Linked DNA regions of Lonchura striata. The protein of the gene in region 3 purifies or fractionates together with the protein of the main gene of each other region. This does not show direct contact. Links are inferred from orthologs where the notes say so. Each region holds a gene or a part of one and is shown on either strand. Other genes may lie near its edges. The genes, in order: MOV10, RPS3, HNRNPA1 and heterogeneous nuclear ribonucleoprotein M.

Region 1 (7,163 bases), on a different chromosome or scaffold from region 3:
GGTTAAACCACCTGTGGGAGCAGAGGCTGCACTGCCGGGGCCCCACCGCCTCCACCTCCAGGCCCTCCCTCCCTGCAGAACTGGGCACTCACCGGGGCTGGAAGGGGCCCGAGAAGAGGGACTTGTGGCAGGAGGTGGAGGGGAAGAGGAGGCTGAACAAGCCACGGCGCACGGCCAGGACTGCAGCCCGGTGCTGCACCTGCAGTGGCAGCCGGTTGAAGGTGAAGGTCACATCGAACTTCAGGTTTTTCACAAACTTCTTCTGCAGCCTGGGAAGGAATGGTGTGAGCATGGCACGGGGCACTCTCTCATGCCCTCCTAGCCCTTTCCAACCCACTCCTGGCCTTTGGCATCTGTGAGAAAGGCTGCTGGGACCAGACATCACTCACTTGGAGGAGAAACCCAGCCTGACCTTCTCCAGTTCCACGCTGTGCACGTAGCCCTTATACCGGACGAGTGGGGAGTGGTCCCGCTTGCTGCTCAGGTGGGCAAAGAGGTGGTCCCCTCTCAGCAGGGACGGGCGGTTCTCGGCCACGCCAGGCACCTGTGCCAAAGGACCAGTGTGATGCCAGGCACTCTGGGAGTGCCAGTGTTGTGCCAGCACCCCTCCTATCCCTCAGCCCCCTACGCACATCGAGAACCAGCAGAGCTCTCTCCTGCACCATGGTCACATCCCGCATGTCGTAGCGTCGGATGTCCACCTCCATCTGAATCTCCTCCAGGTACAGCAGCAGCTGGAATTTCTGCTGGTAGTTCTCAGCCTGCAGAGGTGCTTCCAGCAGCGAGCTGAGGGCAGCAGCAATGTCATTGTGTCTCAGGGGCAGCTTGGCACTCAAGGAACACCTCAGCATTGCTCTCTGCCCTTGGCACTCACCACAAGGCAGCCCAGCTGGAGCTGGCACTGGTGTTGGGTCCGAGCAGGATCATGTCCTTGAGGCTCTTTGGGTACCTGTAGGTACCCAGAGGGATTTCCGTCTCCAGTTCATTTTTCAGGGAGCTGTGTGGAGGGTACAGTTGTGCTTCAGGGACTACATAGTGCCCCCAGCCCCAGTGTCACTGTCACTGCACAGGGTTGAAGCACGATCCTGTGGTGCCAGACAGTCAAGGAGCGAACCTTGTCCTGGCTGAAGAACAGCCTGGGCCCCTCTGCTCGGGATGGCAGCATGTGACTTCATCACATACCTGTCAGGGGGGATGCCATCCTCAGTGATGACTGTGACAAAGCTTTGGAGGCTGGCCTCGTAAGGCTGGAAAGGTGCCGAGGGCCCCAGGTCCTTGGCCAGCTGGCTCTCAGCAATGGCAGCAACATAGCGTGAGATGCTGAAGGACTCGCCTGGTTCCTTGGTGAACTCGAAGACCACCAGAGCACTGAAGTGCCCGTTGCAGGTGGTGAGGCACCGCACCTGGATGGGGTACATCCCACCTGCGGGGTGAAGTGGTGAGATTGGGTCCTGCATCCTCTCTGCAGGGCAGGGCACGGGGAAGGGGATGGGAAGGGGCCCTACCTGGGTGTAACAGCAGGGACTGGCCCTGCACTGCCCCCTGCTCATCGGTGAAGGACAGCTCCCGTGACTGCTTGTGTAGCTGGAACCGCTGCAGGGTCACCACCTCGCTTCCACAGTTCTGCACCAGGATGGTGACTGTCCGGGGCTCACCCGGCACCACTGGGAAGCGGATATTCCCGTTGCCCTGGTCACAGTCTGAGGTGATCTCCACCCCGTGCTTCTCACGAATGCGCTTGGCCCTGTGGGGAGGGAGGGTCAGGCTTTCCCAGCTGGGCTGGGGGATCCAAGGGACATGCCACGGTGGGGTGGTGCTGGTCATACCACTGCTTGCCATGGCTCTCGGGCATTTGTGGAGTGGAGCTGAGCTGCTGTCCTGAGGCAGACGTGGACACGGATGTCTGTGCATTCCTTCTGGTTCGTCGGTACTGGTCTGCCACCACCAGGCGCCTTTTCACCTGCAAGGAGCAGCCAGACCCAGCGTGGCCCCAGGATTCTGCAGGGGGCTCCTGAGGAGCCAGTCCTGGTGGGCACTGCCCCAGCATGAACTCACCTTGAATTTCACCACCTCTCCATGCACCTGAATCTGCTGGGTTGTCTTCAGTGCGTACAAGATGCAGGAAAATCTGGGTGTCTTTGCATCAGTCCTGTGGAGACAAGGGACAGGGTTTCTGTGGGAGTGTGGCTTGGCTGCCATGGGCACAGAAACCCAAGGTGAGGCAAGTGAGAAGATGAAGTAGGACACCGAGGCTGCAGTGAGGGAGTTCTCAGCAAGTCCCCTCTGCTCCAGGAGAGGAAGAAGGACTTGGGCTTCCCACTGGCCTGTGCAAACCTCACATCCCTGCTGGCTGCTCCAGCAAGTCCGAGCTGTGCCATTGTTGTCTCAGCTATGCCACAGCCATCCCAGCTGTCCCACTGCCTGGCCTGACAGCCATGCAGTCTCTGTCCATGCAGTTGAGCTGGCACAGGTGGTGGCTCTGCTAAGGCACAGCCACTGTTCTCCCAGCACTGACTCCCCAGGTTCCTCCTCCCAGTCCTACCAGTGCACTGAGCCCTGGCTTTGCCAATGATCGTGCAATGTCACAGTGGTGACAGTGCATAAGGGCCAGTGTGATTGGTGCCAGCAAGGTGAGGTCGGGGTGGGCAGGGGGTGTCCAAGGCCATCCCTAGGCAGTTGCTGGGGGCCCACGGAGCTGGGGATCATCCCAGCAGGGTTTGGTGAGACAGACGAGCTTGGAGACCCCGGTGATGCTGGCCAGGCACTGGGGATGCTGGCCTGGGATCTGTCCCAGGTGATGTCGCCCGGATCTGGCCGAGGGCTCTCACCTGGCCCGGAACTCCTGGTTGTAGATGGTCCGCAGCGTTTCCCGCAGGCTCCTCTGCTCCCGGCCCGTGTCCTGCAGGAACTGCACGAACTGATTCCCCCAAAGGCTGCCCTCCGCCACGCTGCACCGCGGCATGGTTGAGCCGCGCCGCGCCGCGCCGCGCCGGTACCGCATCCAGCAGTGCCCGGTTGACCCGGACTGGACCGGTCTGGGCTGGGCTGGGCTGGGTCGCACAGGGAGAACGAAAGCAAAAGAAGCCGGGACCCGCCCACCTGGCCCGGGCGCACCGGGGGCCGGCAGCGGGGCTCAGAGGGCTGGAGGGGGAGAGGGGAACCAGTCGGTCTGAAGGATGATTACCTGAAGATTTGGAGAAGGACAAAGAGATAGAAACGCTCCTAAGGCTGGAACGCTGGCGGTGGAGTGCTTCCAGTGTAACCAAGGAGCAGACAGACTAGCCTTGAGGCAGATAAAAGCTGTGCTGTGTGCAGAGTCTTATCTTGGGCCCTGCTTCGGCTTCACATTCTTGGAATTACTACAGCGATTTCCTGGATGCGTCCAGGGCCGCAGCCCACAGCACCTGAGGCTCACACAACCTTTCATCTCTCCTGGGTGCTGCCTCTTGAACTGTCCATGGGTCTGCCCTGTGCAAACCCTCCAAAAAGCCCTGCTTTGTCCCATGTAGGATACAACCTGGAGTGTATGAAGTAGGTGTTAAAGAAAGACACCGAGGGTAAGTGGAATAACCTCCTTGCTGCCTTTTTTCCAGGGTGAGGAGCTGCATTAAAGCTCTGTGATAGTTTCTATTTTAGTTTGGAAGCTCAGCCCTCCAGGTCCTGTGTCTGTATACTAGGACGGGAGCACCACCCATGGGTTTGGAGTGATACCATCCCTGCCTTAATAACGGAACTGTTAAGGTTGGAAAAAAACTTTGAAATCATTGAAAACCAACCATCAACCCAGCACCACCGTGTTCACCACTAAACCAGGTCCTCAAGTGCCACATTCACATTTTTGAACACTTCCAGGGATGGCGATGCCAACACTTCCCAGACTTCAGGAATTAACAAGAGTGAGACCATGAAAGAACAGACACAAATGGCTTTAAACAAAGACTGGTGTATTTGCACTAGACTTATTGATACAGAGCATGCCTGAGGGGTGAATTGTCAGTCTGAGCAGCAAATACAAATATATTTTAATTAGATAAAACTCACAAAGGATAAAAACTTATTTTGTGGTGTTACTGTGCAAAACCTAAAGTGTAACTCACAGACAACTCCGTCCCAATCTTCCCAACCGTTTTTCCTTTGTGTATTTAAAAACAAGAAAACATGAGCCACTTTAAAAAACAGAATCTGTAAGGCGCCCAGTGATAACCAAGTGCAAACAAAGCAAAGGGAGTTCACTTTGTAGTGAATCTATGTTCCAAGATCTGAGAAAGGCGTATGCCTATCTCTTCGTCCTCCCCTCCAGAGAAACTGTTATGACTGCTAATTTTGATGTTAGAGGGGGAAAACAGTAATGCAGAGCAAGCACACAGAACAGATTCATTCCGAAATCCCCTCTAAGCATGACAAGAAACTGTCCACAACTGAGACAAATGGAAAAGATTTTTAATTTCACTTTGGTGCAAGTTTATTTATTTTGTACACTATCCATCCATACACCTGTGATACAAATCTATGAACCTGCCACAAAGCATTAAAGCACAACATACCTATTATTTTGTAGACATTTGCATTTTTAGTCACCATCCAGCCCTTGTGAATCAGCAGTGACTTATCTTGCAGTTCTGTAAAAATGCAGATGTCTGGTAACCGTACATACACGAGGGAGGGGAGAAGAAAGATGTTCACTTTTAGAGAACATGGCTCAAATCTTCAGATTAAAAAAAAGTTACGTCCCTGGAAGAGCTGGGTCAGTAGGGAATTCTGTAAAGGATCCTGTAAACTCATTTTCTACAGCAAAATCTAAGCCTGCAGGCATCTGCTTTGTGGAGGCTGGGAATAAGAACACACGAGAACTCACTGTCTTGCACTTACTTTGTCTTGCAGCGCCATGAGCTCTTGGCAGGTTTAACAGACTTACTGGATACCTGGAGTGCTGGATACCGGTGAAGGAAACGCTCTGCACCCTCTCGTGGGGTAATAATAGGGCTTTTCCAGCTAGGAAGTTTTCCAGCCAGTGACTGAAAACAGCTATATTTCTGAGCCATGAATGGCTGAATTTAAATGACCTATTAAATGCAGCTACAACAGGAAGTTTATGTGGCAGGAAACACAAAACACAAAGACAACTATTTGTTCCACGGTTCCCTTTCAGGCTAGAAAACCTGTTAACTTTGAAAGCCCTAAAAAATCTTCTCTGGTTTAAAAACCATCTACTTGGCATAGGACCATATTTGTTTTTTTGCACATGAATTTTTCATACACCTCCTTCTTTCTGCATTAAGCATTCTGCATTTCTTTGCCAATCTTGTAGCTGAGGATTTTGTTCCAGTCAATCTTGGTGCGGGTGACGGGCAGCTGCCGGCGTAAGGCTTTGAAGGTGGTGTCTGACATAGTCTGGTAATTTTCACTGATTGCTGTCTGCAAGGGCAAGCAGATTTGGTTAGGGCACACATGAAACACTATGAGAAAGCTCAACTTGGTGTGTTAAAGCCACAAACTCCCTTCTGTAAGGTGTAATGCACACGATTAACTAAATTAATAATGCAGTCATTAGTGTGTATACAAGTCAAAGGCTTTCTATTCACCTCTCCTGTATTGTAGCAGCACCTCCTTAGGTCTTTCACTGACTTACCTCTTTCCAGTCTCCTTGCACAGAGGCTGGGACAATGTAAAAGCTGTTGCACAAGTTTCCTCCTCAGAATTTTTAACTGTCACAGAGGAAACTAGATTGACACACCCACTCCCCTCCCATGCATGTTCCAGGTATCATTTGTAACCCTTTAAAAAAACCATACAGCAAACCTGATAGCAAATTACAACACAGCTTTATAACTTTACAGCTTTATAACTCTATTTTTTTAAACAAATACTGCTGTCCTTTTCTAAGTAATTCTTACAGGCAATACCAGATTCAGCCAGGAACAGAATTAGAGGTCAGTTTTCCATTTTTCCATTAACTGCAAATGGAGACTGATACGATTCTGTTCTATTTAACTACCACTGATCTTACCTGATACTCGTTCTCTGCATTTTCTATGATCTTAATAAAATCCTTAGCAGTTTGGACATCACTCTGCAAAGGAAAAAAAAAAGTTGCATGTTTAAGAGCAATTTACATAAGCTACACAACAGATTTCTTCTCAAATGATAGGGTAAGTATAGATAAAGTAGGTAATATCAGCAGCTTGTGCCTTGAGGCTGTCTGGGTTCCCTTCACTTACTACATACTGGCCAGAGCTTGTATTCCAAACTGGAACAGAGCTGCACCCTAGTGAGCAAAAAGGAACTGGACCTTCATGTAAAATGAGTCACTTTGCAGCTGCTGCGTCCCCTACCATACTGGCAGATCTCTCTTACTTGTGAGGATGCTGGACTCCAGGACGGTTTGGGTGGACGGAGACGAGAGATCTCTGAAGGCTGCTCTTAGAATATCTGGTTTATTAGAAAGGGTGAGAGGCCCTGCTTGGAGTCACCAGATGTGACCTGTGGCAGACCCTAGGGAGTGGGGGAAGGGAGAGGCAAGGGGTAGGGGGAGATAAGAGAGGATCCCAAGAGGGAGAGGATGTTCCAGGAGAGGGGCAATTCCAAGAGAACAGAAGTTCCAAGAGAGTGTCTGGCTCCTCAGGGACTCCTTGTCAGGGGGTTCAAGGTGGGCTGGAACAAGACTTCGGCCAATGGGGTCACAGACTCCTGATGCTTCAGGGGAGGGTTACAGGTGTGGGATGAGCCACACATTGGGGTGAGATCCAACAGTTCATCTGACCCTTGGACCTACCTCTAGGTAAGGGCATTGTTCAAGCAGAAGGGGGGATTGCCTTCATCCTGGCTGTACTATTGTTTTCTAGTTGTTTGGTAACTAAGGTTTGGTATCTCAAAACTTGTTACCATCTCAATCTCTGTATTTTCTAAATCTTTTGCCAGGCAGTCATATTTATAAGGCTTTCCTATTTCATTTTCCCCAACACTTACTGTTTCTTTCCCTTGTGCAAAATAGAAAAGCATATTCTGTCCTTTTTAACCCTAGCTTCCAAGAGAAGCTTTCCAATAGAGACTTTCTAATATGACTGAATTTTAAGCAATTGTGAATCTGGAATTCCTACCTGACTCTATAAACACAATATTGACTGTTCACTCTAAAATTACTTTAAAATCAAGAGAATGCAGTC
Region 2 (7,811 bases), on a different chromosome or scaffold from region 3:
CAAATCCCACAGCGAGAGTTCAGTTGCAAAAGCCCAGGAAAACAGGGTTTTCAGAGCCTGAACCATCCACAGCAGCACAACTAAACTACTCTGTGAGATCGGAAGTGCATTAAAACCGTGCTGCCAGTGGGAAATCTCCAACCTGCAGAACAGGATGCCAGGAGCTGATATTTTTTTTTGTTTCTGCAGCTCTAGAGAAGGAACCTGACAAAGCTGCAAAGGGATCTGCACGCCAGGCACTCACCCTGCCGGAGTAGGACGTGACGCACGGCTGTGTCCACGTAGTAATTCACTGGGTCCCCACTGTGGATCATCAAGCCATCCACAAACTTCATGGATTTGGCCCGCTGACCTCGGAGTTTGCCGGACACAACGACCTCACAGCCCTTGGCCCCGCTCTCCATGATGAAGCGGAGGACACCGTAGCAGGCTCTGCAGGGAGGACAGCCAAGCCATGAGCCCGCTCTGCCAGACCCACAGGGCTTCCAGAGGAATTCTATCACAATTCCAACCTCAGTTTCATGTGTTAGCAGTGCAGCTCCCATCCCTTCTCAGACAAATGCCTCTAGATCATTCACTGATGACAGGAGGCTGCTACTGGAGGACCTCACGAAGCACCACAGAACGTGACACCACGGAGGCACTGCCACCAGAGCCACCCGCTTCTGACTCGTCATCGTCTCATCACCGAGGGGATGTGAGAGCAGGGCCACTGCCACCTGAGCCACAGCACAGCCACAAGGCCTGAAATGCTGTTTGCTTCACTCCTCCACCCACTTATACCCAAAGCAACACATGTAGTTTTATGCCCCACAAACTGCAACCAGACAGACCAGTCCAGAGGTAACTGTGGACTGAACAGAAGTTTCAGTGCAGGTTAAATCCTCAAACTGCAGAGAAGCTGTTTCTTGGGCATGGTGCTGGAGTCCCACACCTCCCCCATGGCAGGCTGCTGTACTTACCTGCGCACAGCCAGCCCTCCCAGGAGCTTGTAGCGCAGGGACTCGGCCTGGGCGATAGCACACAGACCTCTTGTGGCCACCTTCTCAGCGTAGAGCTGCAGAGCAGAGAGGCACATTCACAACAGGGCTCTTTTCCAAGTCCATCACACAACCACAGCATGCTGTGGCTTGGAAGGCTCATCCAGTTCCATCCCTGCCATGGGCAGGGACACTTTCCACTTGACCAGGTTGTTCCAAGCTGGCCTTGAATAATTCCAGGGATAGCCACAGCCTCACTGGGCACCCTGTGGCACTTCCTCACCAGCCTCACCGTAAATGTAACTTTTACTTCAGCAGAACACAGGAGTTTCATTTTACTCTCCTCCCTACATTCAGTCTAGTTAATCCTTCCACATTTACAGGCAGCAGCTTTATCCTACACTCCCTTCCTTGTCTAACGTGATCCAGCAGCACTGACCAAGCTGGAATAAATGAACACCACCCCAGCACACACATTCCCCCTCCCTCCCTGATTTGTCTCAGAGCAAGGAACAAGTAACAGGAGCAGATTTCACAGAACAGAACTACAGAATCCTTTGGGTTGTGTGGACCCTTTAAAGGACCCTAGTCCAACCCTCCCCTGGGAAAACCCCCCTAACATTAAGGATCAAAAAAAACTGCTGTGCCACTTTACCTTCTGTTTCTCAAAGATCCTTCTGCAGCAGAGCAGTTTCTTTGTAATTTATTTTGTATTTCAGTGCAGGAGCATTTCTGAGGCCAAGTAACAGAAGGCCCAACTTATCCTGAAACCACCTTTCAGTTGACACCATGCTGCCACCACAAATCCATCTGCACCACCCAGTTCCTGAGGCAGTTTTACCTCCACGCTTCCCTCGGGGAATCCAAACCTCTTCTGCACCACAGCTGTCAGCTCCCGGATCCGGCGTCCCTTCTCTCCCAGGACATTCTGAGTTCTGCGGGAAAATAAGCACAGGACAAATGAGAAAAGTGTCCCCAGGAGTGAGACTGGAGCCACCCCAAAGAGCTTTCAGAGCATCCCAGCTCAGGAAGGCTGAGTTACCTGGTAGCAAGGATGATAATCTCAGTCCTGGTTGGAGTGACCCGGACCTCCACTCCGGAGTATCCATCCTCAGCCAGCTCCCGAGTCAGGAACTCGTTCAGCTCCGCTTTGAAGATGCCATCAGCGACAAACTAAAATACAAATCCACAAAGACAAGGTCTTGTCACATTCTGAACCTGAGTGCAATTCACCCTAATTCCTCCTGCAGCCTGACAGTCTCTCCTGACAACTTTCTTCTCCTCTGAAAAAAATCACAGAATACTCTCAGTTGGAAGGGACCCACAAGGAACACCTAGTCCAACTTTTACATGGACAGCCCAGGGACTGAACCCACAACCTTGACTTGACCAGCACCGTGCACTGCCCAACCCTGGGTACAGTAGCGGGGAAAAATGGAAACCCCTTCCCTGAATTTGTCAGGAATAATCCACTCCAGACACTGCCTGAACCACAGCCACTGCTCACGCTGGGATCACGGCTTTCTGCTGCAATTCGGGAGCAATTTAAGGGAAATAATTAGCGGGGTCGCATCCCTTTCCCTGCTGCTGGGACTCCTGACAGCCCCAAACCTCCCTCGCTCCCCAGGACAGGCAGCGCCCGGTGCCCTCCCGGCCCACAGAGCGGGGCAGCCACCAGCCGCAAACCCTTCGCAGGGGAAAGCAAAAGGAAACCCCACAATTCCCGGCCCCCAGCGCCGCTCCGCACCTCCACGCGCGGCCGCGGGGAAGCGCCCGCTCCATCCCGCCGCCATGTTCCCCGCTGGGCCCCGCGCCGCATCCGCCGCCATCCTCCCCCGTCCGCCGCCGCCGCCCGCCGTGGCCCCGTCCTGCCGGCCGCTGAGGCCGCCGCGGGCGGTGCGGCAGCGCCCCGCGGCCGCGGAGGAGCCGTGCGGCCGCGCTCACCTTGCGCTTCTTGGAGATCTGCACCGCCATGATGAGCCGCGGCCCGGCGGAAAGGAAGGAGCGGGTCCCGCAGGCGGTGCTATATCCGCCTTCCGCCGCGCCCCATTGGCTCGCCGCTGGCACGGCGGGGAGAGCGGGGCCCGATGGGAGATGTAGTCTTTGCCACGCCGCCATGTTGGGGAGGCCTGAGCCATGCGTACGGCCTAGAGCTGAGTTCAACGGGCACGGAGAGTCAGCAGTGCGTAAAATAAAACAGGTGTACGGTAATTCATCCTGGGCTTATACCTGGAGACCTGCCCTGCCCAGGCGTTGCTGTCAGAGGGTGCTCTGCTGTTATCCAGGAATCACAGCATGGCTTGGTTGGGAAGTGACTTTAAAGCTAATCCCGATCCACCCCTGCCATAGGCAGAGACACTTTGCATTGCTCCAAGCCCCGGTGTCCAGCTTGGCCTTGGACACTTCCAGGGATCCAGGGACAGCTACAGCTGCACTGGCCACCCTGTGCCAGGGCCTGCCCACCCTCCCAGGGAACAATTCCTTCCCAAAATCTCATCTAGCCCAGCCCTCTGGCAGTCGGGAGCCATTCCCCTTGCCCTGCCACAACACATTGTTTTTTAATGGTTTAGGGATTGTAGGGGACTGCAGAAATAACAACAATAATGGGCAGAGTTGATGCACGGCCTCTAGGAACCGGGGGATGTTAATATGTTTTGCAGATGGACATGATGATCTTAAGGGCCTTTTCCAGCCTCAGTGATGCTGTGAAAATGCCCAGAGCGCAGCAGGAACACCAGCAGGAGCAGCAGGGCAGAGGATCCCACTCTGCTCTCGGCCAGGGAAAAGCCTGGATTACCGCTAGATGTCAGTGCAGGCGGATTCCAGGCTGAGAAAAGCCTCTTCCCCAGGGATTCATTTATCCAGCACCGGAGGCATGGCAGAGCATCCCACGCTGCGCTCGGCGAAGGCAGGTGGCGGTGGCGGCGAGCGATTGTGTCCCCTCTGTCACCAGACACCTTTGTGTCGCTTCTGGTGTGCCCACCCATCCTGCCCTTCCCTGAACCAGCTCCCCCTGCTCCCCCTGCGCCCGAGGTCCTTTGTCCCACAGAACATCAGACTCTGGAGAAATGTACAGCAGCTGGGGGTGTCTCTGTGCAGGGGTTTGAGCCTTATGAACTGGGGTCTCAAGTAATTTTCTAGGGAAGACCTTGCCAAGCTGCACAAACCCCACTCTGCTGTTTTCCAACACGGGACCACCATATTTTCAGAGCAGAAAATATCTGCCCAAGATCATCTATTTTTTTAGGCTGAGTTTACACAGGAGGGGCTCACACAATATATTTCTGGTCATATAAAGACAGCAAAAGGCACAACAAAAGCAAAAAACGCGACCCTGTCATGTGTCCCCTTTTCCATGGCCTATTAAGGACAAACCCTGTGTTGTGTCAGCATTTCAGGGGCAGCACCCAGGGCTGAAGCCAGGCACAAAGCAGGGCCTGGGTGGTGCTTGGCACCAAGGAAATGTCCCCTGTCCCCCTAGATGTGACCTGGGGGCTCCAAACTGTGGCCTTCACAGCCAGGGACATTTCAGTACCTTCCCCAAATACTGGTATGGGATTCCTCCCTCAGCATCAGCCATCTCTGGCTGCAGCCCCAGCCAGCTCCCAGGTGCTGGGAATGGATTCTGGGCTAGCTGGGGATGTCCCTGCTCACTGCAGGAGGGCTGGATTAGATGACCTTTAAAGGTCCCTTCCAACCTGAGCCATTCCCTGATTCTGTGAATTCACTCTTGTTCCATCCCTGCTGAAATGGAGGCTGGCAACAGCCCAAAAAAGCTGTGACATGCCCACAGAGAGCTCAGGCGTGGTCCAGCAGGTCCCAGTGTCTTCCCAGGCCCAGCAGTGGCTTGGATTTGCAGCAGGCCTGGGATTATCCATAAATGCCATGGTGAGTGACAGACCCAGCTTTCTGGGTCCCCACCCTCGAGGACTGCACCCCTGCTTTTCCCCATTCCCCACTTCCTTGTGGAGTCTCATCATTGGCACAGGAGCTCCTTTTGTCCCCAAAGGACATCCAGGGAATGGAAAAAACTTTTGGGTTTCTCCAGCCATGACCCTTCCTGGCTCTGGGCACATCCCAGCTGGCACTAAACCCTGGGCTGCAGCCCCTGCTCCAGCAGCAGCACTCGGATCTTCCCTTGGACTGTGCAGCAGCAGAACCAGGGCTGCACAGGAAGGATGTCACTCCAGATGTGGCACCTGGCAGCAGCAGGAGCCCCCTGTGCCTATGGAAGGGCCTGGCAGGTGCTGCCAGGTTTCCTCGCTGTGGGGGACGTGGCTTGGAGCAGGTTTGGGAATCGGGAGCTGTCCTGCCTCCCCCCAGCTCCATTCACTGGCCAGGCAGTGACATGGTTGATGGCAGCTGAGGGCCATTGCAGGGCTCAGTGAATGCAGCATCCCAGCCCCTGCTCCCCGGGAAACTGGCTCCTGTTCAGAGCAGGCAGGAGGGGCTGGCAGGCTTAGCAGGGAAACGGCCAGGCCAGCTTTCCCAGCCTTACGGCACGCTGTATTTTGGGATACCCTCTGCTTTCTGCGGGCAGTGACAAAAGGTGGCACTGGGAGAGAGTGTCCTGCCTGGGAAAGTCCCCGACTGCCATTGCTGCTCCCAAAATAAGGGAGATCCTGCCGGGGACTGTGCTGACTCTGCAGGAGGATCAGGGAACAGCCTTGGGCTCATCAAAAACACAAACTAGTACGGGCAGAAGGACAGGGTCTACCATTCCTGCTGTGGTCCCTCCAGCTCAGACACCTGCAGGATTTGGGGTGACACACTGGCTTCCTGCTCATGCCAGGCCCTATCGCCTCTCTGGATATGCCTGAGGATTTCGGGAATTTCCCTTGCAGGAGCCTGTTCCTTATGATTTCCTGTTGCTCCAGGGTGATTTGGACAGCTGGGCCCCAACCTACACCTCTGCATTTCAGTGCAGGAACCAGCAGCCTAGGACAGAAATCCTTCCAAACCACCTTCCCTACGACCATCAGAGGCACTGCAGAGCTCATGAATTTTCCCAGGGAATAGCAGTGGAAAATGAAACCTGGGCTAGAGATGGACAAGATGAGATAGTTTGCAATAAATGAATGGAGATGGGTCCTGGGAGGTAATTCCAGCAGAGATAAGATGAATTGCAAGCACCACTTGTAAAGCATTTGTAAAGTCTAACTCAGACAGGAATTTTACTGCAGGAGACGCTGTATTAGAATTTACTGCTGCAGTTGGAGCAGCTGCTACTGCCCAAGCTGTATAAACCCCTCACTGAGTTCCTCACCACTTCCTGGCACCTCTGGAAATCTTCCTGAGAAATGTCTTCTGCCTTCCCACATGGAGCAGCTCTCCAGAGTGGGGAGAGATGGAGGGAACAGGGCTGGGAGGACAGGGAGTCAGGACCACATTCATAGGCCTTTTGTAAACATTTCACACCTAGCAGGGTTTACTGTTTTTAGCTTGGCAAGAACACGGGGAATAAGTCCAGCAAACCTTCTGGAGGCAGGGGAAGATGGCAGGATCCTGCAGGACAGGGATGGAAGAAGGCACCATGTTTCCAGGCAGAGACAGTTCTCAGCTGCCCCAATCCCATCTCCTTCCCTGCAGCTGGAAGAGTGGGATTGAAACTTGGGCAGCACCAGCTCAGCTCCAAACTAAGGATGAATAACTGCTCTGGAAAGGTGTGTGTGACCCTCCATGAGAATTTACACCTCTGAGAATACATCAAAGCTTGAGAACCAACCGCCAGTTGGGCAAAACAGAAGCTGTGCTCTGTACATGGTCTGGATTTAACTCAGAAATTGCAGCACTCAGGTGTGGGAGCCCCAGGCTTACTCTGGAGTCCCATGTGGTGGTGAAATTTCTCCTCCAACCCGTGCTTCCAAAGGAAAACTCCACAGCCTCCTGTTGTTCGGTCTCAAGGCAGTTTCTTGTGGGTTATCTAAAAGATTGTCTTCTCAGGCTGCGGCTGTTTGGTCAGCAGCCCAGGCAGAGGCACACACACACCCTGACATCCTCTCTGTCTGCTGTCTTCTTCTTCTCTCCCCTTGCCCAGGGCTGCTGCTATCTTTTATATGATATATTACGTATTACATGTTTATACTTTTCCCCCAATACCTACTACCTATATTACAAAGTGCTTTTCTACTCTGAACAAATCTGTGAGTGCCAAGAACATCACCAAGAACATGGAGGCAAGGAAGAAGAAGGCAGAAGAACAGGATCAGCCCACTTTTCTCCATCTTAGAACTTCTGACCTCCATGTACAAAGTAAAACCCCCCCTGTACAAGTGTTAAAACCCCCTCTGTACAATAGTAAAAAAAATTTCCCTCTGTTTTGTAACTACTTTTACTCTGCTATCTAACCTTTTGTGACTGCTTGTTCCACCTCCAAAGTTGGTAACTCATTCCATGGCTCAAACTCAAAATCACAGCTGTTTCCAGCTGCCTGCCAGGGTCTAAAATGCTTCTGACCAAGGCCTGGAACCTCTAAAAATGTCTGAGAGACATTTGGAGTTCCAACAGTCAGGAAGGTCTGATCCAGCAGCCAACTAGACTGTAATCCCAGCCTGTCACCTCCAACACATCTGATAAATTGTTGGCAGTGTTTCAGTGGCTGTTCCCAAACAGCTCCATCACTCAGACACCTTCCTTTGGGCATCTGCCCCACTAAACAGGATTTTGCTTTGCTGCCCAGATTCACTTTAAGGACTTCAAGCAGATTATTAAACAATTTAGATACCTTTTAAAAACAGGAGATGGTGTAAGGATGCTCAGTGTGCTGTTTAGCTGGGAATCCTTGGCTCATAAGTATTTAATGAACCGAGAGGCTGCTGGCAGAGATCATTC
Region 3 (6,952 bases):
AGGTCGGTTTTGGTGCCCCAGGGCTGGTTTTGGGGTCCCAGGGCTGATTTTAAAGGTCCCAGATCAGTTTTGGTGCCCCAGGGCTGGTTTTGGGGTCCCAGGGCTGATTTTAAAGGTCCCAGGTCAGTTTTGGTGCCCCAGGGTTGGTTTTGGTGCTCCAGGGCTGGTTTTGGGGTCCCAGGGCTGATTTCAGGGACCCCAGGGAGGGATTTGAGGATCCCAGGGCCATTTTTGTCATCCCAGCTCCATTTTTAGGGATCCCATGACGTTTTTAAGGGTCTCAGGGCCATTTTCAGGGATCCCAGGGCTGGTTTTAGGGATCACAGTGCCCTTTTAGTGACCCCAGCTCTACTCCAGGAGATCTCAGTCCCATTTCAGGGACCTCAGCTCCATTTTTGGGGACCCCAGCCCTGTTTTTCCTGCTCTCAGTGCCGTTTCCAGGGCCCCCAGCCCCATTTCAGGGCCCCCAGCCCCATTTCAGAGGCCCCCAGCCCCATTTTCCTGTTCTCAGTGCTGTTTCCAGGGCCCCCAGCACCATTTCAGAGGCCCCCAGCCCCATTTTTTTGCTCTCAGTGCCGTTTCCAGGGCCCCCAGCCCCATTTTCCAGCTCTCAGTGCTGTTTCCAGGGCCCCCAGCCCCATTTCAGGCCCCCAGCCCCATTTCAGACGGCCCCCAGCCCTGTTTTTCCTGCTCTCAGTGCCATTTCCAGGGCCCCCAGCCCCATTTTCCTGCTCTCAGTGCCGTTTCCAGGGCCCCCAGCCCCATTTTCCTGCTCTCAGTGCCGTTTCCAGGGCCCCCAGCCCCATTTCAGGCCCCCAGCCCCATTTCAGACGGCCCCCAGCCCCGTTTTTCCTGCTGTCAGTGCCGTTTCCAGGGCCCGCAGCCCCATTTCAGGGCCCCCAGCCCCGTTTTTCCTGCAGTCAGTGCCGTTTCCAGGGCCCCCAGCCCCATTTCAGGCCCCCTGCCCCTCACCACGCAGTCGGTGAGCGTGCCCCACTGCTCGAAGTGGCTGCGCAGGCTCTCGTCCGTGGTCTCGAAGCTCAGGCCCCCGATGAAAAGCTTCCGGAGCTGCTCCGGCTCCTTCGGGGACTGCGGGGGGACGGGCTCAGGGCACCCCGGAACCCCACGGAGGGGGTGGGAAGCCCAAATACCCCCTAAACACCCCCAAAATCCCCCCTAAAACACCCCCTAAACCTCCCCTAAAACACCCCTTAAAACACTCCCAAATCCCCCCTAAAACTCCCCCTAAAACACCCCCAAAACACCCCTTACAACACCCCAAAAATCCCCCCTAAAACACCCCCTAAACCTTCCCTAAAACACTCCTTAAAACACCCCTTAAAACACCCCAAAAATCCCCCCTAAAACACCCCCAAAACCCCCACACTCAGCTCACAGGGGCCTGACACCCCGAAACCCCCTCACACAGTTCCTGTTGGGGGATGAGGACCCCCAAAACCTCCTCACCCAGCTCTGGGGAGGCTGGGGAACCCCAAAACCCCCTCAAAACCCCCTCACCCAGCTCCCGGGGGGACTGACAACCCAAAATCCCTAATGGGACCCCTCCAGTGCTCCTCACACCCCAAAATCCCTCTTGGGACCCCCGTCCCATCCCAAAATCCCTCCTGAACTCCCCCTCACACCCCAAAATGTCCCCCCAAAGCTCCAGAGAGATCCTGACACCCCCAAATCGCCCCTGGGACCCCAAAAAAACCCAACTGGGACCCTCCCCTCCCAAGCAGCTCCTGACACCCCAAACCCACCCCCAACAAATCCCCCCCCAGCCCCCTGGGGACCCTCCCTGACCTCCCCCATCCCCAATTTTTGGGGCCACCTGAACCTTGAGCATCCCCAGTTCCCATCTGGGGGGGCCACCAGACCCCCAAACCCCCCCAACCCAAATTTCTCAATGTCCCAGGCCCCCAAATCTCTCCCCCAACCTCCATTTTTTGGGCCTACCATCACCCTCACCGCCGCCAGCCCCTATTTCTGACCCCCCACCCCCCCAAACCCCCCAGCTTTCATTTTAAACCCCCCCAAGCCCCCACATCCCCAATTCCAACACCCCCAACCCCAAAATCCCAACTCCAGGCCCCCAAATCTCTCCCTCAACCCCCATTTTTGGGGCCTACCAGCCCCCTCACCGCCCCCAGCCCCTTCAGGGCCCCCAGCCCTATTCCGACCCCCCACCCCCCCAGTTTTAATATTAAACCCCACAAAGGCCCCACACCCCAAATTCCAACACCCCCAACCCCAAATTTTGGGGCCTACCAGCACCCTCAGCCCCCTCAGCGCCCCCAGCCCCTATTCCTGACCCCCCTCCCCTAATTTTGCCCCCCCCAACCCTAAACTCCAACTCCCCCACCCCCCCAGCTTTAATTTCAAGCCCAAATTCCAACACCCCCCCATCCCCTTCTTTCCCCCCCCCGTTATTCCTGAGACCCCCCCCCCCCGTGACACAAAGCGCGCGCACGTGGCCGCGGGAGCGCGCGCGGGGTGAGGGGGGGTCGCGCATGCGCCTGAGGGGGGCGAAATCTGTGGGACCCCCCCCCGAAAATGGACCTTGGGGGGGGGGGGGGAGGGGCTCTGTGGGACCCCCCCCAAAAATGGAACCTGAGGGGGGAGGGGAGGGGAAGGGGGAGGGGAAGGGGGAGGGGAGGGGGGGCTCTGTGTGTGACCCCCCCCACACACAATGGCGCCTGCGCGGCTGAGGGGATGAGGGGGGGGCGCCGCGCGCAGGCGCAGTGAGGTCCCGCGGCCCGCCAGGCGGCGGCGGCGGCGGCGGGGGCGGGGGGGAGGGAACGGGGATGGGTTAAAAAAAAAAACAACAAAAAAAAAAAAAAAAAAAACAAACAACGGGGCGCGCGGATCGGCGGGGAGCGGGGCGGGCGCCGCTGCTGACCTCGGCCTTGGCCATGGCGGCGGCGCGGGGCGGTGGCGGCGGCGCGCGATGCTCCCTCTGCGAGGGCCGACACGGAAAGGGGCCGAGCGCCGCGAGCGCCGCCGCCTCACCCCGCCGCCCCCGCCGCCCGCGCGGCCCCCGCGCCGCCGCCCATTGGCTGCCGCCTCACAACGCCGCCGCCCCATTGGCCGCCTCGCCGCGCTCCGCCCCCCGCGCCGCCGCTGATTGGCTGCGCGCCGAAACGTCCCGCCCCTGCGCCGCGGGGATTGGGGAGAAGCGCTGCCGACACGCCCCGCGTGGCTTTTCCCGCTCCGGCCCGGAGACTCCCCGGCGCGCCGCTGGTTGGTTGGAAAGAAACAGGGCCCGCCCCTCGCCAGGCGCTCATTGGCTGGGAGAGCGGGGGGACGGTGCCCATTGGCGGGCGCGGCCGTCCATCAGCGCCGGCGGCGGCGGGCCCAGCGCAGCTCGGCGAGCGCGGCGCGGCGGGCGCAGAGCGGGGAGGCGGCGGCGACTCCCGGCGGCGGCGGCGAGCAGAGGCCGCCCGCCCGCCGGCCCCAAGGTGCGGCCGCGGCAGCGCATGCGCCCATCGCGGTGGGCTTTGGGGAGAGGGGGGGGAAAAGGCGGGCGGACGCATGCGCGGAGCGCCGCCGGCGGCGCCTGCGCGCTGCGGGCGGTTTTGGCGGGCGGAGCGCGGAGCGGCGGCGGCTCGGAGGGGCGGCCAGACCGCGGCGGACGGGCCCGCGCCGGAGCCGCTCTCCGCGCAGGTAGCGCCGGCGGCGGGCGGCGGATGGACGGGCGGCAGCGCGGGGGCGGGCCCGCCGCCGTGACGGGCAGGCGCGGCGGCCAATGGGTGCGGGCGGGAGGCGGGGCCTCGCGGGGAGTGGCGGGCGCGGTGTTGAATAGCAGCGAGCGGGAGGCGGGGCGGCGAGCCGAGTGACAGGCGCGCTGACCTATAGCGGCGCAGGGCAGGCGGGGCGGCGCTCGGAGTGACGGTTCCGCCGCCCAATAGTCGCGCGGCGGGGCCGCGGCGCGCGGTGGGGCGCGCTGCCAATCAGGGCGCGGCGCGCGGCGGCTCTGACCAATGGCGTGCGGCGGCGCGCTGCTGGCCCCGCCCCCAGGCCCGGCGGCCGGGCCCCTCAGCTCGGGGCGCTCCGAGCCCAAATCTGCGGCTTTTCACCCCAAAACCGCGGCCTGGGCCCTCGGGGCGTCGCGCCCCGCCCCGCAGCGGCGGCTTTCCCCTCACAGCCGCGGCCTCGGCCCCGGCCAGGCGCTCCCGGGCCTCCGCGTGCCGCCCTCCCTTTGTTCCCGCAGCATTCCCGGGCGCGGATTTTCCCAAAATTGGCCTTTTCCCACCCAAAGCGGCGCCTTCTCCCTCAGGAGCCCGCCCGGAACCCCGCCGGGAGCCCGGCAGGAAATTCCGGCCGGGAGCGAGGGATTCCCCTCGGGCTGTGTGTAAAGGGAGAAATCCGCTCAAATCCTGCCCTAAGGGGGGAGAAAAAACAGATTTGAGGGCTTTTAAAGCGTCTTTTTTTTTTTTTTTCTTTTTTTTAATCTTGATTTTTAAGGGGTTTAGCCCAAATTCCATTTCTCTGCTCCCAAATCCCCCTTCAGTTTTTGGGGATTTATTCCAAATTCCGTTTCGCTCTGCCTGAATTCTCTGGGTTTTGCGTTGTTTTTTTTTTTAGGAGATTTTAGCCCAAATCACGTTTCTTTGTGCCTAAATCCCCGCTGGGTTTTTAGGAATCAGCCCCTCCTGTGCCTCCCCCTTGGGGTCTCACTTTGAGGATCCTGAGGTGACCCCAGATCCCTCTTGGGGATCCCAAAATTACCCCAGATCCCTTTTGGGGATCCCAAAATTACCCCAGATCCCTTTTGGGCGTCCCTAAATTATCCCAAATCCCTCTTGGGGATCCCAAAATTACCCCAAATTTCTTTTGGGGTCCCAAAGGAACCCCAAATCACTCTTGGGGATCCCAAAATAATTTAAATCCCTCTTGGGGATTACCCCAAATCCCTTTTGTGGGACCCAAAATTATCCCAAATCCCTCTTGGGGATCCCGAAATGACCTCAGATCCCTCTTGGGGCTCCCAAAATGATCCCAAATCCCTTTTGTGGGATCCAAAATGATCCCAGATCCCTCTTAGGGATCCCAAAATTACCCCAAATCCCTTTTGGGGATCCCCAGGATGTCCCGAAATCCCTCCTGGGGATCCCCAGGTGTCCCCAAATCTGGTGACATTCCTATCCGTGCCCCCAGAGCAGTGGCAGGAGGGGCCCTGTGTGACATTCCCTGACCCATGGTGACAATCCCTGTGCCCTGGTGACATCCCTGTCCCTGTCCCCAGAGCGGTGGCTGCGCTATGGGCAGGAGGAGCAGGGCAGTGCCACGTCCCACGGTGACATTCCCTGACCCATGGTGACACTCTCTGACCCATGGTGACACTCCTGTCCCTGTCCCTGTCCCCAGAGCGGTGGCTGCGCCATGGGCAGGAGGAGCAGGGCAGTGCCACGTCCCATGGTGACATTCCCTGACCCATGGTGACACTGTCCCTGTCCCCAGAGCGGTGGCTGCGCCATGGGCAGGAGGAGCCGCCGGAGCAGTGCCACGTCCCATGGTGACACTCATGGTGACACTGTCCCTGTCCCCAGAGCGGTGGCTGCGCTATGGGCAGGAGGAGCAGGGCAGTGTCACGTCCCACGGTGACATTCCCTGAGCCACGGTGACACTCCTGTCACTGTCCCTGTCCCTGTCCCCAGAGCGGTGGCTGCGCCATGGGCAGGAGGAGCTGCCGGAGCAGTGCCACGTCCCATGGTGACATTCCCTGACCCATGGTGACACTCATGGTGACACTGTCCCTGTCCCCAGAGCGGTGGCTGCGCTATGGGCAGGAGGAGCAGGGCAGTGCCACGTCCCACGGTGACATTCCCTGACCCATGGTGACACTCCTGTCACTGTCCCTGTCCCTGTCCCCAGAGCGGTGGCTGCGCTATGGGCAGGAGGAGCTGCCGGAGCAGTGCCACGTCCCATGGTGACATTCCCTGAGCCATGGTGACACTCATGGTGACACTGTCCCCTGTCCCTGTCCCCAGAGCGGTGGCTGTGCCATGGGCAGGAGGAGCAGGGCAGTGCCACGTCCCATGGTGACATTCCCTGAGCCATGGTGACACTCCTGTCACTGTCCCTGTCCCTGTCCCCAGAGCGGTGGCTGTGCCATGGGCAGGAGGAGCAGGGCAGTGCCACGTCCCATGGTGACATTCCCTGAGCCATGGTGACACTCCTGTCACTGTCCCTGTCCCCAGAGCGGTGGCTGCGCCATGGGCAGGAGGAGCAGGGCAGTGCCACGTCCCACGGTGACATTCCCTGAGCCACGGTGACACTCCTGTCACTGTCCCTGTCCCTGTCCCCAGAGCGGTGGCTGCGCTATGGGCAGGAGGAGCCGCCGGGCCGCCGACAGCTCGTCCTCGGGGGAGGAGGAGGAGTATGTGGTGGAGAAGGTGCTGGACCGGCGCGTGGTGAGGGGCCAGGCCGAGTACCTGCTCAAGTGGAAGGGCTTCTCCGAGTGAGTGACGGGGACAGCAGGGACACAGCAGGGACAGGGGACACAACACCCTGGGTGTCCCCTGACCGTGTCCCCTCTGTGTCCCTGGGTGTCCCCGGGTATCCCCTGTCCCCTGACCATGTCCCCTTGGTGTCCCCTGTACCCTGGGTGTCGCTGGGTATCCCCTGGGTGTCCCCTGTCCCCTGACCGTGTCCCTGGGTGTCCCCTGACCATGTCCCCTGTCCCCTGCCATGTCCCCTGACAGTGTCCCCTGTCCCCTGCCATGTCCCCCGTGCCCTGACGGTGTCCCTGGGTATCCTTGGGTGTCCCCTGCCGTGTCCCCTGTCCCCAGACTGTGTCCCTGGGTGTCCCCTGACCCTGTCCCCTGTCCCCTGCTGTGTCCCCTGACGGTGTCCCTGGGTGTCCCCTGCCATGTCCCCTGACCATGTCCCCTGTCCCCTGGGTGTCCCCAGGGAGCACAACACGTGGGAGCCCGAGAAGAACCTGGAC
Region 4 (7,983 bases), on a different chromosome or scaffold from region 3:
TGATCCATCCTTGAAACCACAAATTCTCCCCAAATCAGCAGTGCATTCCCAGGTCAGTGGGAATGGGGAATGGGAGTGTCCTCACCATTTTGACGTGCATGGGTCTGTCAAAGAGCAGCTGCCCATTGAACATCGCTGGGGGTCGTTAAGGATCATTCTTCAAGCACTGAGTGCTCTCACAGGGAGCACAAAAACCCCTCAGAAAATCCATCTCCTCAGTTATTACTCACAGATTATCCCAAATCCTTCTGCCTTCTCCAAAACTAAAATGCCTTGAAATCTAAAAATACTGAACATTAAAAAAAAGGCTTTTTAAAATAAAAAAAAAAAGATAAAAAACATATTTCTGGGTAAGATTAAGTTCAGAAAGAGATACAAACCATAACTCTAAGTCAGCCCAAGTGTTTAAATGCTTCCTCAGTCATTTTATCCATTGAAGACAGGACAAAACAGAGAAAAGCTCCACAGCAACACCATATTCTGAAGTGTGCCATGACAGTGAATCTTCTGCCCAACTCTGCTCCCACAAGGTTTTGTGGATGCAGTGCAGAAGGGAATTAACAAATAGAAACTTTGGGAAAGGAAGAGGGTTTATTTTCCTCCTTTCCATACCATAACCAGGAGTTGAGAGAGTAATACCTGGAATTTTATTGCTGTTGGGTTTCTAGGTGGCAAATCATTGCTTGGCCAGTGGAAGGAAACAGGAACAGGAAAATACCAATTCCGTGTGCCTTGGCACAGGGACTTTTTCCTTTTCAGAGAATTGCATTTTAATATTAATTGCAACCTAGAGACAGAAACTCATCTCGGATTGAAGTACATTTATCCACGTAGGAAAGAGAATTTCCTTTGCTAAGGATCCTGAGCAAACTGCAACAATTCCTTCAAGATGGAATTTTGCCTCTGTTTTGCTTTTCCTTCCATTTTCCATCTGCTACAACTTGACCTCCCCTGCCCTGGATACAATATCCTCCTTTGGAATACAGTTCCCACTCTGCCCTGCTGCGTTTCCTGGGCTCTCTGCCCCATTATTCCCAGTTTGCTGCCAAGGATACAGATGGCCTGCACGGCCTCGATGGCCTGCTCGAAGGTGACAGTGCCGATGCCCCGGCTCTTGCCGTCCTTGTCCTCCAGAATGTCGGCCCGGACCACCACCCCAGCCATGCTGAACACCTCCTTCAGCTTCTTCCAGCCCACCTTGTAGTCCAGCTGGAAAACAGGGCATTGTTGGAAATGCATGAGATTTTCATGAGAAAACAGCTTTAGTTGGCTCCTGTCCTCCTCTGGTATTGGCATTAAAGTTGTCAGAGAGCCGAGATAAAATTCAACCAAAATACGAAGTTTTGTTCAAAAATCCCCATTAACAGGCACTGTGGTACAACTTAACTGAGAACCTCCTTTGCACAGAGAATCAACAGGACACAGAGGAGCTTTTCCCGAATTCCCAAGGCTTTTCCTTCCTGAGATTTGCCCCAGCTGAGAGGTTCCCACTGCTGGATTTGCAGCAGGGGGTGCCCAGCACTCACGTTGGCCACGAAGACGGTGCTGCCGAGGCGGCCGGCCTGCAGGGCGTGGATGATCTCGTTGGGGATATTGGGGTTGTTCAGGATGCTGGGGGGGATGTTGATCATGCCAGGGCCGCCAGGGCCGGGCCCGATGCCCATCCCTCCTGCTGCCATCACCTTCTGCATGGCCCTCCTGGCGTGCTCCCCGTCGGGGTCCTGGGGGACACACACACACCCTCAGATCAGATCCCACATCCACCCACATCCACCACATGCTCCCCGTCGGGGTCCTGGGGGACACACACACACCCTCAGATCAGATCCCACATCCACCACGGGCAGTGCCAGGGCTCCCACAGGCACAGACAGGAGTTTCCCTTTATCCCAGGGCATCTGCTCCCTAAGCACTCCCAGCCAACTGCTTCCCTTTCATTGTCAGTCAATTTATGTTATTTTAGCCAACACCCAGCACACTATCATTTAAATGATACCTTTATTATTGATACCCTTTAATAATAAGTTATTCCTCTCCAGGCATTTCCCTGGTTACCAAGTTGTTTATCCATCATTAATACCAACAACAAACCTCTGTTACACTGTTCCAAACCCTAATAAACCCCCAGTGCCACTGGAGAGGTCTTGGAATGAACTCCCAGGACTGTCTGTCAACAGCAAGGCCACTAAAATGGAAATACATCTTTGATGGATTCCAGGAAAGAGCTGATTCTATGGAATTGTTGGCGGAATCCATTCATTCTGATGCAGAATTCAAAGGGAAGTTTGTAAAGAACAAACAGAGGTTTCTGTGTCAAATCATTAACAAAGGAACTGCAATTAAAGCCAAACTCCTGCTTTGTCCTCACATCAAGTTTAGTCTTGATAATCACAAGTCCAGCAGTGGTTAAAACTATCAGAAAAAGGTTGACTGGGTTTTTTTATCCTATTTAAGTCCTGCTTTCTGCCCATTATCCTCTGAGTCAGCCCTAAACCTTAAACAGGAACTCCTGCTTCCCCCTCTATCCCTGCCAGAACAGATCCCCTCCTTACTTCTTTTACTTTCAGGGGTCTCCCACCAAGACTGTGCTTGTTCAGAACTTCAGCAGCCTTTTTCATGCTCTCCTCCATCTTGAACTCAACCACCCTGTGGGGACACAAACACAGCTCAGGACGTTTTGTTTGAAGAAGTCTCCTCAGATTCCTGATGAAATCAGATTGAACTTGAAAAATTCAGAGTGAACTTACGCGCATCCCTGGTGAGATGATTTCCCAGGGCAGTCACATGGAGGAGGGAAGAGGGGAAAAAAGAAAGTCAGTGATAGCTCAAATCACACACAGATATTTTATTATTAAAGCCAAATCACATCAGTTAAGCCCTAGCAGCAAAAATAAATGTAACCTTACACAGGCAAGCCTCCAATAGTGGAATTCCATAATTTCTTATGCCTTAACAGGATTAACCTGGGGTCTCTGAGGTTGTAACAAACACTAAATCCCGACTCTCCAAGAAATACCACACGCTTCCTGTGACCTGCTCTTCCCTGGCATACAGCAAAACCCTCCACACTCTCACCCTAAATCCATATCCTTCAGGACACTTAGGAGTGCTCCTATTGTCTTCCCTGATCCTGGACTCAAGGCCCATGAAGGCACTGAACATTTACATTTAGGAATTTATCTCGCTCTGCTGGCCCAGGACGTGGAGTTTGCAGCACCTGCTGTTGCACCCTGGCCCTTCCAAACTCAGCCAACCACTCGAGTGACTTTTCCAAAGCACAGGAATATTCCAGAGCCCTGTCCTGCCTGCTGGGCTCCAGGGTCACACGGCCAACGCCAACGGCACGCAGGGAACAGCTCCTGATTGCAGAGCCCACCCCACCTCCTCCCATCCCACAGCACTCCTGACCTAGAGCCACTGCACATCCACACTCTGAGCCTCCCTGGCCTTCTGTCCAGCACACAGAAACATTTCAGGTAGAAAATCCACAAAGAAACTCTCAAACACTTACCCTTGACTTTCCTTCAGCGTCCATTAAGAGCTCCACGTATGTTACCTCACCAACTACAAATCAGATTCCAGACGACACAGATACCAAGGGAGAAAAGCCAAGAAAACAATGGGAATTTAGAACAATCAACAACCGTGTATGGAGCCTCTGCCTTATAAGAAAGCCCAGAAACACTCCATGTTCTCTAGACCACAAAACTGGACAATTACAGGTATGCAGTAAAGGCTTCAAGCACTTCGATATGTTCTTGGTTTTCCTCCACCTCAAAGCCAGAGATTTCCACAGTTCCCTGGATCTCCAGTGCCCACTCGTTACCTGAGGCAATCCAAACCCATGGGAAAGGCTGCAGGAACAAGTTTCCTTCAGTTGCCACAGGATGCAGCCCTGGCTCCATAATCCACAATTTCAAGTAACTTTTTTTTCTCAGGATTTAAGACAAAAAAGGAATCACACTGAACCAACAGATCAAGAGATCACTGCCTGCTATTTATTTTAACATGTTTTTGTTAAGTTACAATAAATTCTATTTTAGCATTAAAATCTGCTACATTTGCTCTCAAGTCAAAATTGTCAACAGCAAAAGGCAAAAGACAATGGAAAACTCCACCTGCCCCTTTCCTCACAGGATTGGGACTGCCTCTCTAGGACCAAATAACCCTGGCAGGGACTTCCAGAAAACCACTACCCAAATGGCTGCTGCCTTTGAAGGGACTGGCATACAGAAGAATGGAATCAACACCTTTTTTTTTCCCTTTTTATTTTTCCTTTTTGGTTTTACAAGTCCTAGGGTTTAAATTTAAACTAGGAGGACACCAAGCTGCATTATCTGGACAGTGGAATGTTTTATTTGTGGGAAACCATGAGCCAGTTGAGTATGAATAGTTTAACTGGAGCAAGGAAGTGGGGCTTCATAATATTCTGCCAGGGACAGAGGGAGGTGTCCAGCCTGACCTCCCCCAGGCCCAGCAATTTACAGGACACTGGGTATCACTGTGGAAAACTGACACCCTGGAGCTCTCTTGAAGCTGGAAAAAAAAAAGGAATGCTTAACAAAACCACTGATTTGTAATCTCCATTTCTTATTTTAAACAATACTTTAGCAGTAAGAGTATTCCAGCCAGAGAACAGGATGAACAGCTCTGATCCACTCCTGCTTTTGGAAGGATAATGTTTGAGGCTGGAAAAGGCTGCCAAGTCCCTCTGAAAGGGACTCCACTGGAGTGTCCATTATCATCCACAGCTCCAGCAGCTCCATCCATGTTGGTATCAAGCCTAACAAGGAATTCCAGCCTGTAATCCCTTTGAGCTCCTGCAGCACACATGGGATTGTTCCCAAGGAGTCCCGGGGGGGATTCAGCGCTGCCATGAGGTTCTGACGCCATCCAGCTCAAACAGCAGCAGCCAGAGTCCAAGCACACCTGGGGCAGGGATGCAAACAGATTCACCAGTTCTTCCCAGGTGAGCTCCACTCCAAAACCTCTCCGAGCCAAAGCTTCCAGGTCTGGCATTCCCTGAAGCTGCAGAGCCCCCGGAGCGAGGGCTCTCCTCTCCCAGCCACTTCACCTACAGCTCCTCACAAACAGCTCCCAAAGGAGCTTGCCAAGCTTGAGGATATCCAGTACAATTGAGCATCTGCTCTTGTAACCAATCCCCGACTCTGAACCACAAGATCTCCAGGAATCTCTTGGGAAGTTGAGTCTGTGCCAATTTTGCTCAGAGCTTTCTGCTGGAGCCTTACAGACACATGAAAATCCAAATATCCAGCCTGAAGTAGCTGCTATGCTTTAAAGGAGATCTGAACTTCCTGAAGAGCCCGGTTTCAGAACAGCAGGAGAGGGGAATGACACACTCAGTGCAACAGCTCTGAGCCAAGACAGAGCCCAGAAACACTGCCATGAAAATGCATTCATTTCACCTTAAACTGTGTAAAAGGAGCCAACCCAACCCTTCTGCCAGGAGAACATCGTCTGTGACTGGCAAAGGAAATATTTTTTTAAGAAGCTAGGCTGGATCACATTTTATTTGGAGTTTTGGAGTTTTTTTCTAGATCCCAAACCACAGGATGCCATGGAAAAGTACCAGGAGCAGATATCCATGTGCTAGACCAGGATAAATGCCCAGTGATCCTGGCAAGATTCCCTTCTGCCAGAGAACAGCTGGATTCTGTCAGGGAACATCCCATGGCCACAAGTGGAGAAACTTCATCCAAGCACAAAAACTGTTACTTCAGGAGTTTCCTAAGGGAGGAAATGTCCAAAAAACACTGGCTCCTAGTCACTGCAGGTTTAATTAATCAACACATTCCCCATGGTGTCTTTAAGACTTAATGTAGAGGAAACTGATTTATGGATTTATTGAAACCTCACACCTAAAGTTTGAAAATGCAGCTTTTCCCAAACCAAGAGACTGGAGCAGAATTTACTGCAATAACCAGAAATCCAAACTGAAGGAAGCTTCAGTGTTATTTATAACAGTCATTATTTTTAATCCTCTTTAAAACTTTGTATCACTTCCCAAAGTTTATCAGTACAGAAAATGTCAATGTTCAAGCTGGGCTGCTCCAGCAGAATTCCAATACTCTGCAGGGTCTGAACAGGAAGCTCAGATCAGTATTCACAGGGTGACCTGAGGCCCTGAAGACACATCTGGGAACTCCCCAGAACAAGCTCAGACAGAAATAACAACTTTAGGTTGGGCAATTTGATTTTAACAGTTTGTGACAAACCAAAGAGCTCTGAGAGGTGTGAAAGATGCAGAGAGGGAAGGGGGAGCAAGCACAGAACTGGGACAAGGGAAATGCTCTGTAGCAGTTATTCCTTGGCCTCCAGGGCCAAAAGTAAATACTAAATATGGAAGGAAAACCCCAAAGTGGCTGGATGTCTCCTCATCTTCTGAAGAACAAGTGATCCAAGAAGATTAAAAAGCTTCACACTCGCAGTGTGAGGCAAAGCAGAGCTGGCCACAGTTCTTCCCTCATTTACAGGTAAAAGCTTGGGACAGGCAACCCCTGAAAAGTTAAGAGGGGAGAGAAGAGGAGCAAGTTTTACACATGCAAAGCTTTGGCTGAAAAGGCAGAAGGAAAACCTTCCCAAAGCAGAGACAGCAGTCAGCAGTTCTGTCACAGATGGGGAAAGGAAACTTCCCTTTTGCAAGAGAACACCCAAAGTGGTGATTTAGGCTCTTAAAGAGCTCAGGCAGCAGAGGGAGTGAAAAGCTCCCTGCAGCCAGGGAAGGGCTGAGATTCCTTGGAAAGATGGTGAATGCCCAAGGGAAACAGAGCAACTCATCAGAGACTTCAGCAAACGGAAGGGGGAACAGGCCAAGGGCAGGACAGCACATTCCTTCCCCATCCCTCCCTCCCTGACTCCCCAGAACTCCACACTGTGACCAAATCCTGGGGACTCTGCAGTGAGCTAACACCTTGTGTCTGCCAGCAAAACGAGGGAGTTCCAAACAAGAACATCTCTTCATTCCATTACCAACATTCCCACTGCATACCTGTAATTGAGTTTCTCCAACCAATCCACTGGGATGCCCGAGCCACGGCGTGAGGAGAGAGAGAGAGGTGGCACCTGGAGCAGCCTGGCCGCTCCCAGGCTGCAGAACAGCAGCAGCTGCTGCACACACGGCACCTCCCCGAGCTCCTGCTGCTGCTACAGCCCCTTCTGCACGGGGCCCAGCCCTGCAGAGCCCTCACACACCCAGGGTTTCCCCTTGGGCAAGAATTCCACCTGCTCCCAGAGCCTGGGACGTTTGGCCTGGCGTTCTTACGCTTCCGAAGCAAGCATTCCAACGGGTCGGAGTTTTCCTGGGGCTTGGAACTGCTCTGCCTCGAGGCAAGGACTGAGCAAGGCCGAGCACAGCACGAGAGCAGCAGTTTGGGAGAAGTCCAGAACAACTCCACGGCAAGTCCAAACTGTTGGGTTCATCAGCAGTGCCAAACCCCAGGAATGATCCCAGTTTGAGCAGGACAAGCCCTGCAGCCAGAAGGAAAAGGCTCCAACGTTCCCCTAGGAGCATCTGCTGGAATGAGCAGCTGAACAGCCCGGCAGGAAACAATCTCAGCCTGGCCTCTGCCATCCACGGGAACTGGAGAGAAACCACCAGACACTGGGAACGGGATTCAACACAGCACAGAGCTGGACATCTCCTCACCCGGAACACCAACGGATCTGGGGCAGCCACGGGGCAGTGAGGGCTCCGTCCATCATCAGGGCCTGCTCAAGCAGCCCTTGAGGCTGACACTGTTGCCATGGCACAAAACCACTGCTGGCTCTCAAACAGCCCCTAATTTGGGAAGCTCCCAGTCTGTTCCACAGATTCATTCCCTTTTGCCTCCAAAGACAAACAATTGAAACCCTCTGGAACTTTGTTTTCCCCTTCTTTAGGCCACACCTCAAACGCCTGAACTGCCAGTCCTTGCCCAGCTCCAGCACAATGACCACTGCCCACTATCCTGGCTGATGCTCTGG

What was found.
Region 1: the proteins of HNRNPA1 (region 3) and MOV10 purify together in Homo sapiens (affinity purification with mass spectrometry; 3 studies listed by BioGRID and IntAct, counting the BioPlex papers as one, with this or other methods). This does not show direct contact. The link is inferred for Lonchura striata from reciprocal best matches to the Homo sapiens genes HNRNPA1 and MOV10.
Region 2: the proteins of HNRNPA1 (region 3) and RPS3 fractionate together in Homo sapiens (co-fractionation; 3 studies listed by BioGRID and IntAct, with this or other methods). This does not show direct contact. The link is inferred for Lonchura striata from reciprocal best matches to the Homo sapiens genes HNRNPA1 and RPS3.
Region 4: the proteins of HNRNPA1 (region 3) and heterogeneous nuclear ribonucleoprotein M purify together in Homo sapiens (affinity purification with mass spectrometry; 6 studies listed by BioGRID and IntAct, with this or other methods). This does not show direct contact. The link is inferred for Lonchura striata from reciprocal best matches to the Homo sapiens genes HNRNPA1 and HNRNPM.

What each region holds. Positions count from the first base shown.
Region 1 is NC_134632.1:5,823,047-5,830,209, reverse strand, and holds the start of MOV10 (helicase MOV-10), read right to left. Parts: upstream 3,010-7,163; 5' UTR 3,002-3,009; coding exon 2,829-3,001; intron 2,150-2,828; coding exon 2,056-2,149; intron 1,961-2,055; coding exon 1,827-1,960; intron 1,745-1,826; coding exon 1,506-1,744; intron 1,424-1,505; coding exon 1,183-1,423; intron 998-1,182; coding exon 875-997; intron 787-874; coding exon 633-786; intron 545-632; coding exon 390-544; intron 270-389; coding exon 93-269; intron 12-92; coding exon 1-11. Other genes in the region: CAPZA1 (F-actin-capping protein subunit alpha-1), read right to left, coding at 5,275-5,415, 6,008-6,070.
Region 2 is NC_134604.1:18,070,818-18,078,628, forward strand, and holds the start of RPS3 (small ribosomal subunit protein uS3), read right to left. Parts: upstream 3,015-7,811; 5' UTR 2,955-3,014; coding exon 2,925-2,954; intron 2,154-2,924; coding exon 2,023-2,153; intron 1,916-2,022; coding exon 1,822-1,915; intron 1,058-1,821; coding exon 963-1,057; intron 694-962; exon of another isoform or gene 547-693; intron 433-546; coding exon 245-432; intron 1-244. UniProt on the Homo sapiens protein: Component of the small ribosomal subunit. The ribosome is a large ribonucleoprotein complex responsible for the synthesis of proteins in the cell. Has endonuclease activity and plays a role in repair of damaged DNA.
Region 3 is NC_134629.1:8,441,113-8,448,064, reverse strand, and holds the start of HNRNPA1 (heterogeneous nuclear ribonucleoprotein A1), read right to left. Parts: upstream 3,003-6,952; 5' UTR 2,918-3,002; coding exon 2,903-2,917; intron 1,090-2,902; coding exon 973-1,089; intron 1-972. Other genes in the region: CBX5 (chromobox protein homolog 5), read left to right, coding at 6,327-6,463, 6,916-6,952. UniProt on the Homo sapiens protein: Involved in the packaging of pre-mRNA into hnRNP particles, transport of poly(A) mRNA from the nucleus to the cytoplasm and modulation of splice site selection.
Region 4 is NC_134630.1:6,568,422-6,576,404, reverse strand, and holds the start of heterogeneous nuclear ribonucleoprotein M, read right to left. Parts: upstream 3,001-7,983; 5' UTR 2,748-3,000; intron 2,647-2,747; 5' UTR 2,631-2,646; coding exon 2,553-2,630; intron 1,722-2,552; coding exon 1,527-1,721; intron 1,210-1,526; coding exon 1,056-1,209; intron 136-1,055; coding exon 86-135; intron 1-85. Other genes in the region: heterogeneous nuclear ribonucleoprotein M-like, read right to left, coding at 3,500-3,564. UniProt on the Homo sapiens protein: Pre-mRNA binding protein in vivo, binds avidly to poly(G) and poly(U) RNA homopolymers in vitro. Involved in splicing.